3 linked regions of the Oryzias latipes genome follow. The main gene of each other region encodes a partner of the protein of the gene in region 2 in a complex. Links are inferred from orthologs where the notes say so. Each region holds a gene or a part of one and is shown on either strand. Other genes may lie near its edges. The genes, in order: washc4, washc5 and washc1.

Region 1 (3,990 bases), on a different chromosome or scaffold from region 2:
TCAGAGTTCAGGGAGTTGGACCTCTGAAGGGGCCGCCGATGACCCGACGTGACCTTCTCATGTGACTGAGGAGAACTCAGAGAACCAGCAGGCGTTCACTGAGGACGGGGTACCGGGATGGGCTAAGCCTTCACACCACCGGCACAATGATGCTCCAACAGAAGACCGTGGAATCCCTTTCAAAATAAAAGCCTGCAGGAAATGAAAAACTGTCGCTTCATCGCGGACCTCCTCCTTTTCATGTGTAGAAACATTCGCGTCCTAATGGACAAGAATCTGCTGTCATGGAAGAGCCTGGGTCCAGATGACCCTTTTCTACAGACCTCATCCTGGATGGATGAGGGCCTCCACAGATACTTCATCAGATCAAATCAGTTTAAAGACAGATGCAACACAAACCAGGCGGTGACTGCAGAACGCCTGACCCGGGTCATCGGACCCCGCCTTGTTGAATGAATGAACCCCCGGGTCCAGATTTTACTTTCTGGGGTAAAAACTCAACACAGTCACTCTGTTCAGTGCAAGTTCAACAGGTTTTTCTGAAACATCTTCTCCTGAAGACTCTTAGAGACCACGGCAGACTCACCCATAGCAAAGCCATCGTCCGTGAAAGCAGCACCGCTCTTGTTCTTCTTGTTCAGCTTCTCTTTGCAGCTGATGGAGTGCTCCACAAAGTTGACGGTCTGTGAGGGAGAGAGCCGTTAGCGATGAGCCCAGCTTTCAAAGGCGGTGCGGCTGCAGAACTGACCAGCGGAGGAACAATCATGTAGAAGTTCCTCAGATGCATGTTCTTGGCGCTGCGAAACTCAGGAGCAAACACGGTCACCAGCATCCGGAAATATTCCGTCCCTTCTGCAGAGTTGCTGGTCAGATCACTCAAGACCGAGTCGAACACGCTGGAGAGGAAACCAAACATGTTCTGATCATCTGTGAGGAGGATGCAGCGCCCCCTGCAGACCTTCTGTTACAACATCAACCTCTGCAGATGACAGTCAATCAGCAAAACCTGCTCAGTGTTGAAATAAAGGTTGGAAGTTTTACCCCGCCGCTCTGCGAGTCTCCTCAGACAGACCCTCCTCCTTCACCAGCTCCTCAAAGTCCACGATGTCCTCCAGGTCTGGAACGAACCTGCAGGGGACAAACCGCACGCCGTCTCAGCCCGACTGCACGCCGTCTCAGCCCGACCGCACGCCGTCTCAGCCCGACCGCACACCGTTGTCCACCAATGCAGTGGTGAAGAGCTGCATTCTACCTGATGGCGCTGCTGCAACAGTGCAGTCCTCCAGAACGAATCATGCGCACGTATCCCATGGCGTTACCTGAAAGAGGGCGGAGCTGTCAGAAGCTGCAGGCGCCTTCACCCCGCCCGCTGCCCGACTCTCTCACCGATCTGGCTGATGAGCTGTCTGAACTGATCCAGGTAGCTCTGCCCGTCCGGGGTGAGGCCCAGCTTCCTGATGCCCCGGTTAAACTTCTCCGCTCGCTCAAACGGGTACTGCGGCCGGGGGAGGGGGCGGGGTCACCAGATCGGGTTTTTACAGCAAAAACAGAAGCAGTTTGGGGAAAAAACATTTTTTAACTTTGAATCCAAACGATAAGGACGTTTTGTTTCTCATGAATGCGGGTTCATGTCCGGTCATTTGGACTCTCATGGCTGATCAAACCACCTCAAAGGTCACATCTGTCCATCTCAGATCTCCAGAGAAGACACCAACCTTCTGGTCAGACTGGTCCTTGGTCTCCTTGAAGAAGCGGATGTCCTTGATGAGCCTGGATTTGATGTGCTCGTCGTACATGAACTGACTGAAAATGTAGAATTTTTTCCGCAGGAACTGGTAGGTGAAGTTAACCTGAAGAAAGGACAGGTGAGCGTCTGAGGGTCTTCAGCGGAAGCAGGTTCCTCTCGCCGCCGTGAACTCACTGTGGTGTTCATGATGCCGGTGCCATGGGTGCGGATGGAGTTGGCGATGTGGCGGATGTTGATGGTGTTCAGATGCTTGTTGTTGCTCGCCTTTTCTACAAAGATCTGATGGAGGGAAGCATCACCTGAGAAGAGCCAGCAGAAGAGCGGGAACACCTGGAGAAAACTCACCTGGTTGTTGAGGTTGTAGAGAAACCGCGAAACAAAGACGTGAATGTTTCTCATGATCTCCAGAACGTCCAAACCCTGATGAAAACACAGAAATGTGGTTGGAATCAAACCCTTAGTCTGACCCCTGCAGCGTGCTGCCGTGATGGTGGGAGGGGCCAACCTGTTCCAGAGTCTGGCTGGGCAGGTGAGCCTCCGCCATGGTGAGTCCGTAGCGCTGGGTCGCCAGGTTTCTCATCTCGCTGTAGGTGGCCCAGTCGTGCAGAGCGACGGTGGTCAGGTTGTAGAAAGTTTTGTCCAGATAATGAGTCACATAAGCTGACGGAGAGGAGAAAACGCGGCATTTAACGGGATTTCCTGACAAGCCACCAAACCGAGCCTGATCAGAACCGAACCTAAACAGGTCACAAACAGGGAGATGAAACTGACAGAGGGACCAGGTTCAAGTCCATTCCAATCAATCTTTGTTGACAAGATGAGATTCTGATTCAGACATTTATTGAGCGATTTCCTTTAAAGACGTTTCCTGTTTGGTTTCTTGTAAAACATAGATCTTCATTTGACTTGTTTAGCACAGACTCCGTTTCAGAAATTGTTGTGGAAACGAGTTTGATCCTCCAGGAGCTCAGAGAAGAACTTCATCCTGACAGGAGGCTTCTCACATCCTGCATTCACGCCGCCCTCAACGACGCGCGTTCGGCGGCCACTTCTACTGAAAAGTCGATGTAAAGGCGTGTTTCAGGCTTCCCCGTTCATGCGCTGCTACGCGTTTTTTTAAGGCTGTTTTTGGGCGATCCGTACAAAACGTGCGGCATTGAACGCGCGTTGAAAGTTAAACCAGCTGAGCTTTGATCAATCAGGGAGTCGGATGACACAAAAGCTGTGGTTACGTGCACAAAATGTCTTTGTTTGGATCAAAGATCGGATTAGAATTGAACTGTGTACACACATTCACAAACTAACGTTTACATACGCCACACCTTCAACTGTTTTGAGATGCGCAGAAATAAACGGCCATAAAAGAAATGGCGAGTCCTTAAGCTGCAGCATAGAGCGAGATGATCTTCTAATTGCGCTTTTATTATTTTATTTCATTTAAGTGACTGTTCGCTCATACATTTTCTAAATTCAGCAGCCAGTGCTTTATTCTTGGCCGCAAAAAACAGTAAAAAAGGGTTAGGATAAGAATAATACGTGCTAACAACATTTAGCCGTGGATGCAGTTAAAATCCACGATGTCCGTGCTGCAATGTGCATCTTGGCTGCAAGTTGATATGTGGGAATAAAGGCCCGTACACACCGGGACGAATATTCGCCAGGCGTTATTCGCCAGCGTTTTTCGTGTTCACACCCAGGTGATTTTCGCTGACGATGAGCCGAGCGAACATGCAATTTCATTCCCTGAAGTTAGATGGCGCTTAATGTAAACAGAAATACTCCTGTACACAAGGTGGCGCTGCGCAACTTTACGCTTCTTAAAGTCGCTTTTCGCTCAGAAGAAGAGAGTAAGTATTTACACGCTAGTCAGAATCAAACAAAGAAAACATGAATATTTCAAGCACCAGTAGCTCCAACTGGTGCTTGGTTCGGGGATATTTAAGAACGTCCGTCATTATTTCTTCGCTGCTGTGTAGACGCTACTTGGCGTCTAACTTCTTCGCTGGTATGTGTGTTCAGCAAGGAAGTTTTGTGTTTGAGCGCCCCCAAGTGGTGTTTTACTGTAACTTCAGAAGCTCCAGACACGTGTGCAAAAGCGCCATTCTCATTGGTCGAATAGATTTCGACGCGACAAAAAAAAAAACGAACCCGAGGCGTTTTTTTTTTTTGACGCTTTGACGCGTGGCGTTTTTTCGCGTCTGTGTGCACACTCTCATTGGTGCCCTTTGTTTAGTCACGAGGCG
Region 2 (4,658 bases):
GCGGGAATCGAACCTGCAATCTTACGATGATGGGTCGACCGCGGAATTAAAGACATAAGATGTATATAAAAACATAAAATTGACAATAAGATGCATAAAATGAAAATCAATACATAAAATAGCCTATACTAAAACAAATGGAATAAATTAGCAGTTAAAATCAACTAAAAGGGAAATTAAAAAGGTGGGTCTGTATTGTATAGAATAAAAGGGATGAATCCTCTGAACATCAGAAATTAAACGCAGCTAATATGATATAAAGTTGTGTTGTGAAGTTTGCAAAGCCATTTTGGCACAAAGATGTCATCTTTGATTTAGCTGAGTTTAAACCTTGCTCTGGTGCACAGTGAGGGAGCAGGTCAAACAAACAGCTGTCACCATGCAACCGTTTTTATCCTTCGGGACGTTCTGCTTAAAGGAAGAGAATGCCTTCAGGTGAGACTTATTGAGCAATAAAAGTCCAGTTCAATCGGTGCCTGAAGGTGACATTAGAGATGAGAGGCGCAATCGAAGGAGACCGCCATGCAGACAGGATGGACACAGAGTGACAGACTGAAGTATTTATGGGTAAAGTTAATTATTTGTGCACCCAATCTTTTGTCAATGAGTGTGTTTACATGCGTTTGTTTGACCAAGTTAGAATAGATTTTCTAACAGGTTTCCTAAATTTCATTTAAACCACAAACCTGGTGTCCTTATCTAGCGGGAGAAGGGTGGGGAGAAGGCAAAAAAAATTGTTTTCAGGACGTGACATGCCCTGCTGGCATACAACATGGGACGAAGAAAAAAACAACTTGATTGAGGGCAACATGATAATCTCTAAGACCGATGTAGTTTGTGTATGAGAATTGCCAAAAACAGTCTATTACCTCATTCAATTATGTGTGGCATTATATATATATATATATATATATATATATATATATATATATATATATATATATATATATATATATATATATATATATATATATATATATATATATATATATTAGGCCTATGTTTACATTTTTTCCATTACTTTGTAAAAGAAAATGCAATGGAATTTTATTAGGAATTGTATTATTATTAATGTTATAATTATGTGAAAATAATAATTATTATTCACATATTATTATAGTCATTGTTATTAGGACTTTCATTGTAGTTGTATTACTTTGTATTGCTTTGTGTATGTGTGTTATTTTGTTGAATAGAGATTTTGGTGGAATATGCACATGTACACACTACATACATGTATACAGTCAATGATAGAAACACATTTGTTGATGGGACAAAAAGTCCCAGATACTCAGCAATAATGTGAGTTTTATTTCCATGATGAAGGAAACGTATTTTAATCATTTTATTTTTAGATTGTGTCTGAATCATAAATGTAGTTTGTCTTTACTGTATCAAAGTGATGAGTCCTCAATTTTGAGTTGGTAGAAAGGAAGCGACAGCAGGAAAAATCTGAGGATTTAGTGGATCTTTGTCGCCACCTAGAGACATACAAAAGGAACAGCAGGAATCTGAACTAATGCGGAGACAAAAAAAAGTGTATTTTGTGAAATAACTTTTCATTTTAAGAAGCTTAAAAATGTAAAGGATAGTTTGAAGTTGATCACATCATGATAAATATATCTAAGACTTAAAAAAAACGGAATAATCTCTGAAATAGTGAACTCGTTCTCACATTTTTCTCCGGCAAACTGAGTAATAGAAATCTAACGCACCCAGCAGCGCAGTCATGTGACGGGTCATGAGGAAGTAAACAGGGAAGGGGAGCTCCAAAAAGGTGAGCACTTTTGGCCACAATTTCCACCATAGGGAGATTACAGTTAGTTCGACACATAAAACTAAACATACCTCTTAGTCATAAGTGTGCATCTTTGCAGATATTTATCCGTTTGGCGCGATATAACGCCTTATTAGAACAAAAAGTGTGCAACATGCTAACGTTAGCATCATCCAGGCTGAAGTAACAGATGGTGCATATTGTCTTTAAAAGCAACCTTCTCACATTCCTTAACGTAGGTTTTATGATATATTTAATATGTGATACATTTATTTTATTTTGAAGCGTCCTGACATGCATTTTAATATATTTATTTTATTTGATCATTAGTTACAGGTTTGTATAGGTTAGCTGGTATATTTCCAAAACAAAAGAAAATATTTCTTTAAAAAAGCCTCTCAGGATTATGACTCCTTACATTAAAGAGCAAATACATATTTGTTTTTATGCTTTTATTGTGGAGAAAACGTTATTTTTTTTCTTCATATTTTACATGAATTCATTATCCTGTTTGTATGATTTCCTTTATGAAGCAGTGTTTTCTCCCCTTCTCTTTAAGTCATCCTTACTGCTTATTTTTTTAAAGCTTTATTTTGTAATAACTCTACTTTTCTCAATGAACTCATTGGGTCTGATGGTTACCTCTTAAATTCTCTACAAGTATGAAGATTTTATAAATCCATTAATCCTAAACGGTTAGTTTTAAAAAAAGAAAAATGCGTATTTTCTGTGTTGTTTACAGGCGGCTTTTGTGTTAAATGCTATCCTTTTTTTAATTTTTTCTTTACAGGATAACCTGGAATTTTATCTTTAGAAACCGAATAGAGTTGCTGGCGGCTTCTGTGATCTGCATTTGGCTGCTATGGTGGACTTCCTGGCGGAGAATAACCTCTGTGGCCAAGCCGTCCTGAGGATAGTTTCCAGAGGGAATGCAATTATTGCAGAGCTCCTGCGTCTGTCTGACTTCATCCCCACAGTTTTTAGGCTCAAGGACAAAAGTGACCAGCAGAAATATGGGGACATCATCTGTGACTTCAGCTATTTTAAGGTGAAAACAACACTTGGAACGGCTTCTGAAGTACTTAGATAAAAAAGTCTGATTTTAGTAAAAACCAAAATAGGTTTCCTTGATTAAAAGATTTTCCTGTGTCGTCTTCTTTTTCTACATCATCTTAAAAATGAACAATCACGTACATGACATCCATTTCCTTTACCAATGTGTCTTCAGGGTCCAGAGTATTATGAGGGTAAACTGGAAGCCAAACCGGAGCTTCAGGACTTGGATGAGGAGTTCAGAGAAAACAACATTGAGATTCTGTCAAGATTCTATCTGGCTTTTGAGAGCGTCCACAAGTATATTGTGGATCTGAACAGGTACAGCATCTGAAGCTGCAGTCCGGTTCACTTTAAGATGATTATATAAATGAAATTCTTTTATCAGGTCTGAAATTTGTTCAGTTGAATAACAAAACATAGTTGATAAAACCTACCGGTAAGTCACTTTATTCAACTTTTTTCTTAAATACACTTGTGATGGTAAGTTTTTTAAAATATTTTTGATCTGTAATATTGTTTAGTTGATTTAGTAAACTCAGTTTAAAACATTCAAGCCCTGCAGAATTTGGACAGATTTCTCCACAGTATTCAAATTTTTTGAAATTCTGTTTTTGTGGGTTTGATGAGCTGGAACTCCAATTTATGTCTAAATAAACAAATACTTGAAATAATGATATATATAATATATGCAAAATATTTTTGTACCAAATTGAAAAAAAAGGAATGCATTTGAGTCATTAAATCCTCACAACCTGCTGCATCAAATCCCACTAACTAGATGTTGAAAAGCATTTAGATTTGAAACAAAATAATAAAGTGTTAGCCAAAAAACTGCAATTATCTTAAAGAAAAGAGGAATTAGCAAAATGTGTTTGAAATGCTTTCTTTTTTTCACTTTCAGGTATCTGGATGACCTTCATGAGGGCGTTTACATTCAGCAGACCCTGGAGACGGTGCTTCTAAATGAGGATGGGAAACAGCTCCTGGTAAGTTCATGATAGAGGGGAAAGATCCTTCAATTTCCATTTTAAATACATTCATAAAATTCAATTTTATCAGTACAATTTACAGAAAGAGAAAACTACACGTGGCAGCTTCCAAAAAGTGGTTAATTCTAGCTAATAAAAGTAGTCTAAAACAATAAAAAGGATTATTATGTACCGGTAAGTAAATTACAAGTTTAGGAACAGGCTAACAGTGGATTATTGTGCAAGGCTGCCAAACCGTCTTATTCTGCAACAAGTCATGAAGGGAATAAGATTCCTGACATTTAAAAAGTTTGAGATTTGATCAATTATTACGTTAACTTTTGAAATTTCTTTTGACAAAACCACACATTAATTGTCTTGTGCAAAAGAGTTTTCCATCTATTCTTTTTTTTATTACTGCAAACAGCATAAACATTTTCAACAATAATTCTAGCTCACTTGGGGAAATTAGATTTAAACAGTGGATAAAAGTAAAAGTGTGGCGTTGGGGTTTCAATGAAGCAGTGCAGCTGATTTCAGGGGCTTTCTTTTTCTCTCAGTGTGAAGCTCTGTATCTGTACGGCGTCATGTTGCTGGTTATCGACCAGAAAATCGAAGGAGAGGTCAGGGAGAGGATGCTGGTTTCCTATTACAGATACAGGTGACCCACACAGCCGCTCATAGACACAATCTCACCAACTCACTGCTCTCTGTCTGAGCCGGAACGGTCACCGCTGCACACAGACCTCAAACTCTGATCACGTTTATCTGCTTGTGACTTTTTTTGGGGGCGGGGTTTGTAGTGCCGCACGCTCATCAGGTGACTCCAACCTCGATGACATCTGCAAGCTCCTGCG
Region 3 (4,391 bases), on a different chromosome or scaffold from region 2:
ATGTTGGAACCCAACAGGTGTGTACTTGCTTTTTTATAGCAAACAGAAGCTGGTAATAATTCCTACATTTACTTTCAACTTAACTCCTCGAGATTCTTGAATCCCTTTAAACCCTAAATCAGTCTTTTTTTTTTAAAACATTAATGGACACATTTTTTGTTTTTCAACTAGAACGAACTTGTTGATATTGAAAATTATCAGGATATAAAACCTATTTACACTTTAAGATCCACTAGTCTGTGAATGCAAATAAATCCAGCTTTCATTTTCATTGCTTCACTTATCCTCTGCTGCTAAAAATAATTAGGCTTTCTGAGAAAACCCATTCCTGATGTTTCAATATTACAATAACATTTATTGTTTGCCACTGGATGAAAACTTCAGTTATAGTATGAATTTTTTTTATTTTTATATATTTGGGACTTTTTAAAATTATTATTTAAACCTTTCAACGCTTGAGAACCCACCGGGTCAAGTTTAGCTGTTGTTTTTTTACTTTTTTTTTTTTTTTAATTTATATATATATATGTTCTAGTTATGTATTATCATCTTATTAGCCACTGCTTGTTGCTTCTACCTAAAATAAAAAGACAAAAAATGTGAAATTTACTTTTAAAATCCCAGAAGAAAATTGATTTGGGGTTCTTTGGAGCAAAGACTGAAAGGAGCTAAAATGAAGGCATTCCTTTAGGGTTTTTATTTTTATTTTTTTCAGTCAGATCAACAAATCCTGGTTTACTTTTGCACTCCACTGTTGCATACTGTATTGTATGAAGTACTCCAAGCTGCGTTAGCCTTTAAGTTAACTGTGTGTGTTTGGGTACATATCTTACTCTGCAGCATTTTATAACAAACCCCACAGTTTACTCTGAAGCATTTCTGGAAACTTTGCACCAGCTAGTATTATCTTTTCTGCTGCATGAGCTTTTCCTTTTTCTTTTCTTCGTTGTTGCAGTTATGTGTATTTTTGGAGGGGTGTTTGTGTGTCTGTGTTAGTTTGTCAGCCTGGAAGGAAAAGAATAACCCAATCTCACACAAATGCATTATTCAGTGTGTTTTAGAAGCAAGCTCCCCAGTCACATCATTTGGTGTTTCTGTGCTTGTGGGTGTGCGCATCTCCGCACAGAAGCACTTTAGTGGCAGTCGTCATTTGCATCGTTTAGGATTTCAAAGTTTGTAAAAAAAAAAAAATCTAATTTTGACTTTTTGTCTTTTAGGAGAAGTTAATGCATTTCCCATTGTGTGTGAGCAACAAGAAGAAGTCTGAGGATGAGGCAGAGGAAGGACTGGGCAGTCTGCCTCGAAACATCTCATCTGTCAGCTCTCTGCTGCTCTTTAATACCACAGAGAATCTGTGAGTTTTAAACACAAACACACAGACGGATGCTTCTGCTTGCTGCCAATCTGTGCTTGCATGTTTACGCGTGTGTTCTGCATTTAGGTATAAGAAGTATGTGTTCCTTGATCCTCTGGCGGGAGCAGTGACAAAAACGCACACGACACTGGAGACAGAAAAAGAGCAGAAACCCTTCGATGCTCCTCTGTCCATTACGAAGCGAGAGCAGCTGGACAGACAGGTTCTTCAACGACTGAGCACGCTGCAGCTTTGCTGCCGTCAAATGTAGGATTTATCTTGATGAACTTTTTCTTTCCTAGCAGACGGCAGAAAGCTATTTCTATGTGCCAGACTTGGGTCAGGTCCCCGAGATAGATGTGCCGTCCTATTTGCCCGACCTGCCAGGCATCGCAGACGATCTGTCATACAGCGCAGACCTCGGTCCTGGATTTGCACCGTCAGGTCCCATACACATTCCTGAGCTTCCCTCCTTCAATGATGACAGTAGTGCACCTGGTACTGGACTAATGACTTTTTTATTTCACCAAACATGCTATTCAACCTTTAAACATGTATATAATGATGGGGAAAATGGCTTTCATATGTCTTTTAGGAACCCTCCTTCCATTGAATTCTCCATCGCTCTCTCCACCTCCACCGCCTCCTCCTCCTCCCCCTCCTCCTTCCCTTGCTCCTGCTGCTCCCATGGGGGTCCCACCTCCACCACCCCCTCCTCCCCCTCCTCCAGCGGAAAGCTCCTCAGACGTCACGGATGTGCCAAGCTCAGGTGGGTCACGTCTGCACTCGTGTCACGTCAACTGTGGATTCTGTTCGACCTCATTAAAAGTAACGAGCGCTAGCTCAAACTGTGATGCTGCAGGTCGCATGGCAGGCGCTCCCAGCGAAGTGGTTCAGCCATCAGACGGTCGTGCCAGTCTGCTGGAATCCATTCGCAACGCCGGGGGCATTGGCAAGGCCAAGTTACGCAATGTCAAGGAGCGCAAGATGGAGAAGAAGAAGCAGAAGGAGCAAGAGCAAGGTGACTGTTGCAACCGGCATGTGGATCTATCTGTGGAGGAAGGCCAAGTAGCAGAGACCGCTTAGGTTGACATTTCAGACAAATCGTGCATTTTGTGGTACCAGCGCCAAATCTACCATGGATGTACCTCAGGATCTCCTCTCAGAAAAGCTCGTTTGCCACGAGAAAAATCCAAAATGGCAGCCATTTTGAAAGATGGAGGCCTTTCACTAAATTATTAAAAAAAAAAAATTAATTTCGATTTGCCCCAGTCTGAACAATATGGACTGTTAGTGCACTAAATTGAGTCTTTCGCTTTTTTTTTCTTTTTTAAATATTGAACTTTCTTCTGGCAAATGTGATTTTCTGAAACAGATCTGAATGCTAAATCTGGTGCTTGTACCACAAACAGCTGACATTTTGCTGTCAGCCATGTTATTGTGAGACACTGCAAGACAAATTGAAGACTATTGTTCTTCCAACATGGTTTTCAACTTGATCCATTGCTTTTTTTCTCTCTTGAAGTCACATGTTCTACTTTGATGCAAAGTTCCATCTACTCATTTCATTTAAATAATTGATTGAAGCTCATTCATTTAGAAGCTCCTTGTTTCATCTCTCATCAGTTGGGGTGGTATCCAGTGGTGGCGACTTCATGTCTGATCTCTTCAATAAACTCTCCATGCGCAGAAAAGGTACGACAAGACTTGTCTTTTAAATAAAATATTTTAAAAACTGAGGTTTTTGGAACAGCTTTTGCTTTACTTCCTGCTTCCTTCTTTCAGGAATATCTGGAAAAGGCCCGGCAGCTGGAGAGTCCGGTGAGGCTCCCGCAGGTGCAAGTGGTGCGTTTGCCAGGATGTCCAACGCCATCCCTCCACTTCCTGCCCCGCAAACAGCGACGGACGACGACGACTGGGAAGCGTGACGTGACGTGACGTGCGGCAGACAGAACCGACGTTGTGAAAAAGAATTTCTCGTATTGGCAATATTTGTTTTGATTTTTCAATTAAACAGGACAATAGGACAGGACATTTATAAATCAACTTAAAGTTTATGCAAAAGCTCAAAGTCAAACTACAACACAAATGAACATTTTCATTCATATTTTATTTACGGTACCTTTGATTTATCAATGGGTTCTAAATAAAAAAAAAAAATTGTTGTGAAAAATCAAACTGAGTAACAAGAATGCTTTCCATTTCAGAACAATGTGGATTTTGTTCTTGAATTATTAAAACGTCAGAGTAAGATGTGCCTACCTGTGCTGTGCCTGCCATCCATCTACATTTTTAAGTAGTTCACATTAGTAGACCTCATTTAAGAGGACAAGAGCTAACTTTTCTTACTAAGAAACTGGGTCAGTGATAACCTGTGTGCCATGAAAAAACTCTTTATTCCATTGATGAGCTGCATTAGTTTAGAGCTGAATAACAGTGTTGATGACAGCAGAAAATATGTCACCTGAAAAATAAAGAGCATTTATTCTCAAACTGTTGGTTGAAGTGCTCTTTAAGGTAATGATTTCCCCTAAATATCATTTAAAATTTTTATTTCTTAGAAAATTAATTACCGTATTAAAAAAACAAGTGTTTTCTTTCATGAGTCGTTCTGAAAGACCTGCTGCTGTTTCTTCTCCATGAAGAACTAAAAAAAAAAAAATAAGAACAGTCAGTTCATCAAACGCCTTGGTGATAACAATTATCTTTGTCTGTTTTCCTTACCTTGCGTAAGGCAGCAAAAGCGGGACCAAACGTTGCATATGTGCTTGTGCGGCTCCTGATCCAAGCTGGAAGTTTAGAGAGCGTGGCGGGACGAGAGTAACGCCTGTCACACAGCACTACAGAGGAATAGTCGCCACGGTGACGGATAGCTCGACCTATGGAGACAGACGTCAAAGACGGTTTTGTTGATCAAAAATACCGTGACTTCATTTTCTGCATCTGTTGCCATGGTTACCTATGGACTGATTGACAGCCTTCATGCAAAGGTTCTCTACTAGTGCTTGTCCGGGGCTCTTTCCTTGACTGTGAGGCT

Evidence for each region.
Region 1: washc5 (region 2) and washc4 share a complex: the UniProt entries of both Homo sapiens proteins name them as parts of the WASH core complex. The link is inferred for Oryzias latipes from reciprocal best matches to the Homo sapiens genes WASHC5 and WASHC4.
Region 3: washc5 (region 2) and washc1 share a complex: the UniProt entries of both Homo sapiens proteins name them as parts of the WASH core complex. The link is inferred for Oryzias latipes from reciprocal best matches to the Homo sapiens genes WASHC5 and WASHC1.

Annotation. Positions count from the first base shown.
Region 1 is NC_019864.2:31,040,507-31,044,496, reverse strand, and holds part of washc4 (WASH complex subunit 4), read right to left. Parts: intron 2,408-3,990; coding exon 2,253-2,407; intron 2,168-2,252; coding exon 2,093-2,167; intron 2,027-2,092; coding exon 1,922-2,026; intron 1,851-1,921; coding exon 1,716-1,850; intron 1,496-1,715; coding exon 1,387-1,495; intron 1,320-1,386; coding exon 1,253-1,319; intron 1,129-1,252; coding exon 1,042-1,128; intron 897-1,041; coding exon 749-896; intron 684-748; coding exon 587-683; intron 1-586. UniProt on the Homo sapiens protein: Acts as a component of the WASH core complex that functions as a nucleation-promoting factor (NPF) at the surface of endosomes, where it recruits and activates the Arp2/3 complex to induce actin polymerization, playing a key role in the fission of tubules that serve as transport intermediates during endosome sorting.
Region 2 is NC_019874.2:13,935,897-13,940,554, forward strand, and holds the start of washc5 (WASH complex subunit 5), read left to right. Parts: upstream 1-1,720; 5' UTR 1,721-1,777; intron 1,778-2,567; 5' UTR 2,568-2,639; coding exon 2,640-2,825; intron 2,826-3,005; coding exon 3,006-3,151; intron 3,152-3,734; coding exon 3,735-3,819; intron 3,820-4,361; coding exon 4,362-4,462; intron 4,463-4,604; coding exon 4,605-4,658. UniProt on the Homo sapiens protein: Acts as a component of the WASH core complex that functions as a nucleation-promoting factor (NPF) at the surface of endosomes, where it recruits and activates the Arp2/3 complex to induce actin polymerization, playing a key role in the fission of tubules that serve as transport intermediates during endosome sorting.
Region 3 is NC_019864.2:19,200,009-19,204,399, forward strand, and holds the end of washc1 (WASH complex subunit 1), read left to right. Parts: intron 1-1,217; coding exon 1,218-1,354; intron 1,355-1,441; coding exon 1,442-1,577; intron 1,578-1,656; coding exon 1,657-1,852; intron 1,853-1,949; coding exon 1,950-2,123; intron 2,124-2,216; coding exon 2,217-2,375; intron 2,376-2,980; coding exon 2,981-3,049; intron 3,050-3,139; coding exon 3,140-3,282; 3' UTR 3,283-3,842; downstream 3,843-4,391. Other genes in the region: ATP-dependent DNA helicase DDX11, read right to left, coding at 3,954-4,001, 4,079-4,233, 4,314-4,389. UniProt on the Homo sapiens protein: Acts as a component of the WASH core complex that functions as a nucleation-promoting factor (NPF) at the surface of endosomes, where it recruits and activates the Arp2/3 complex to induce actin polymerization, playing a key role in the fission of tubules that serve as transport intermediates during endosome sorting.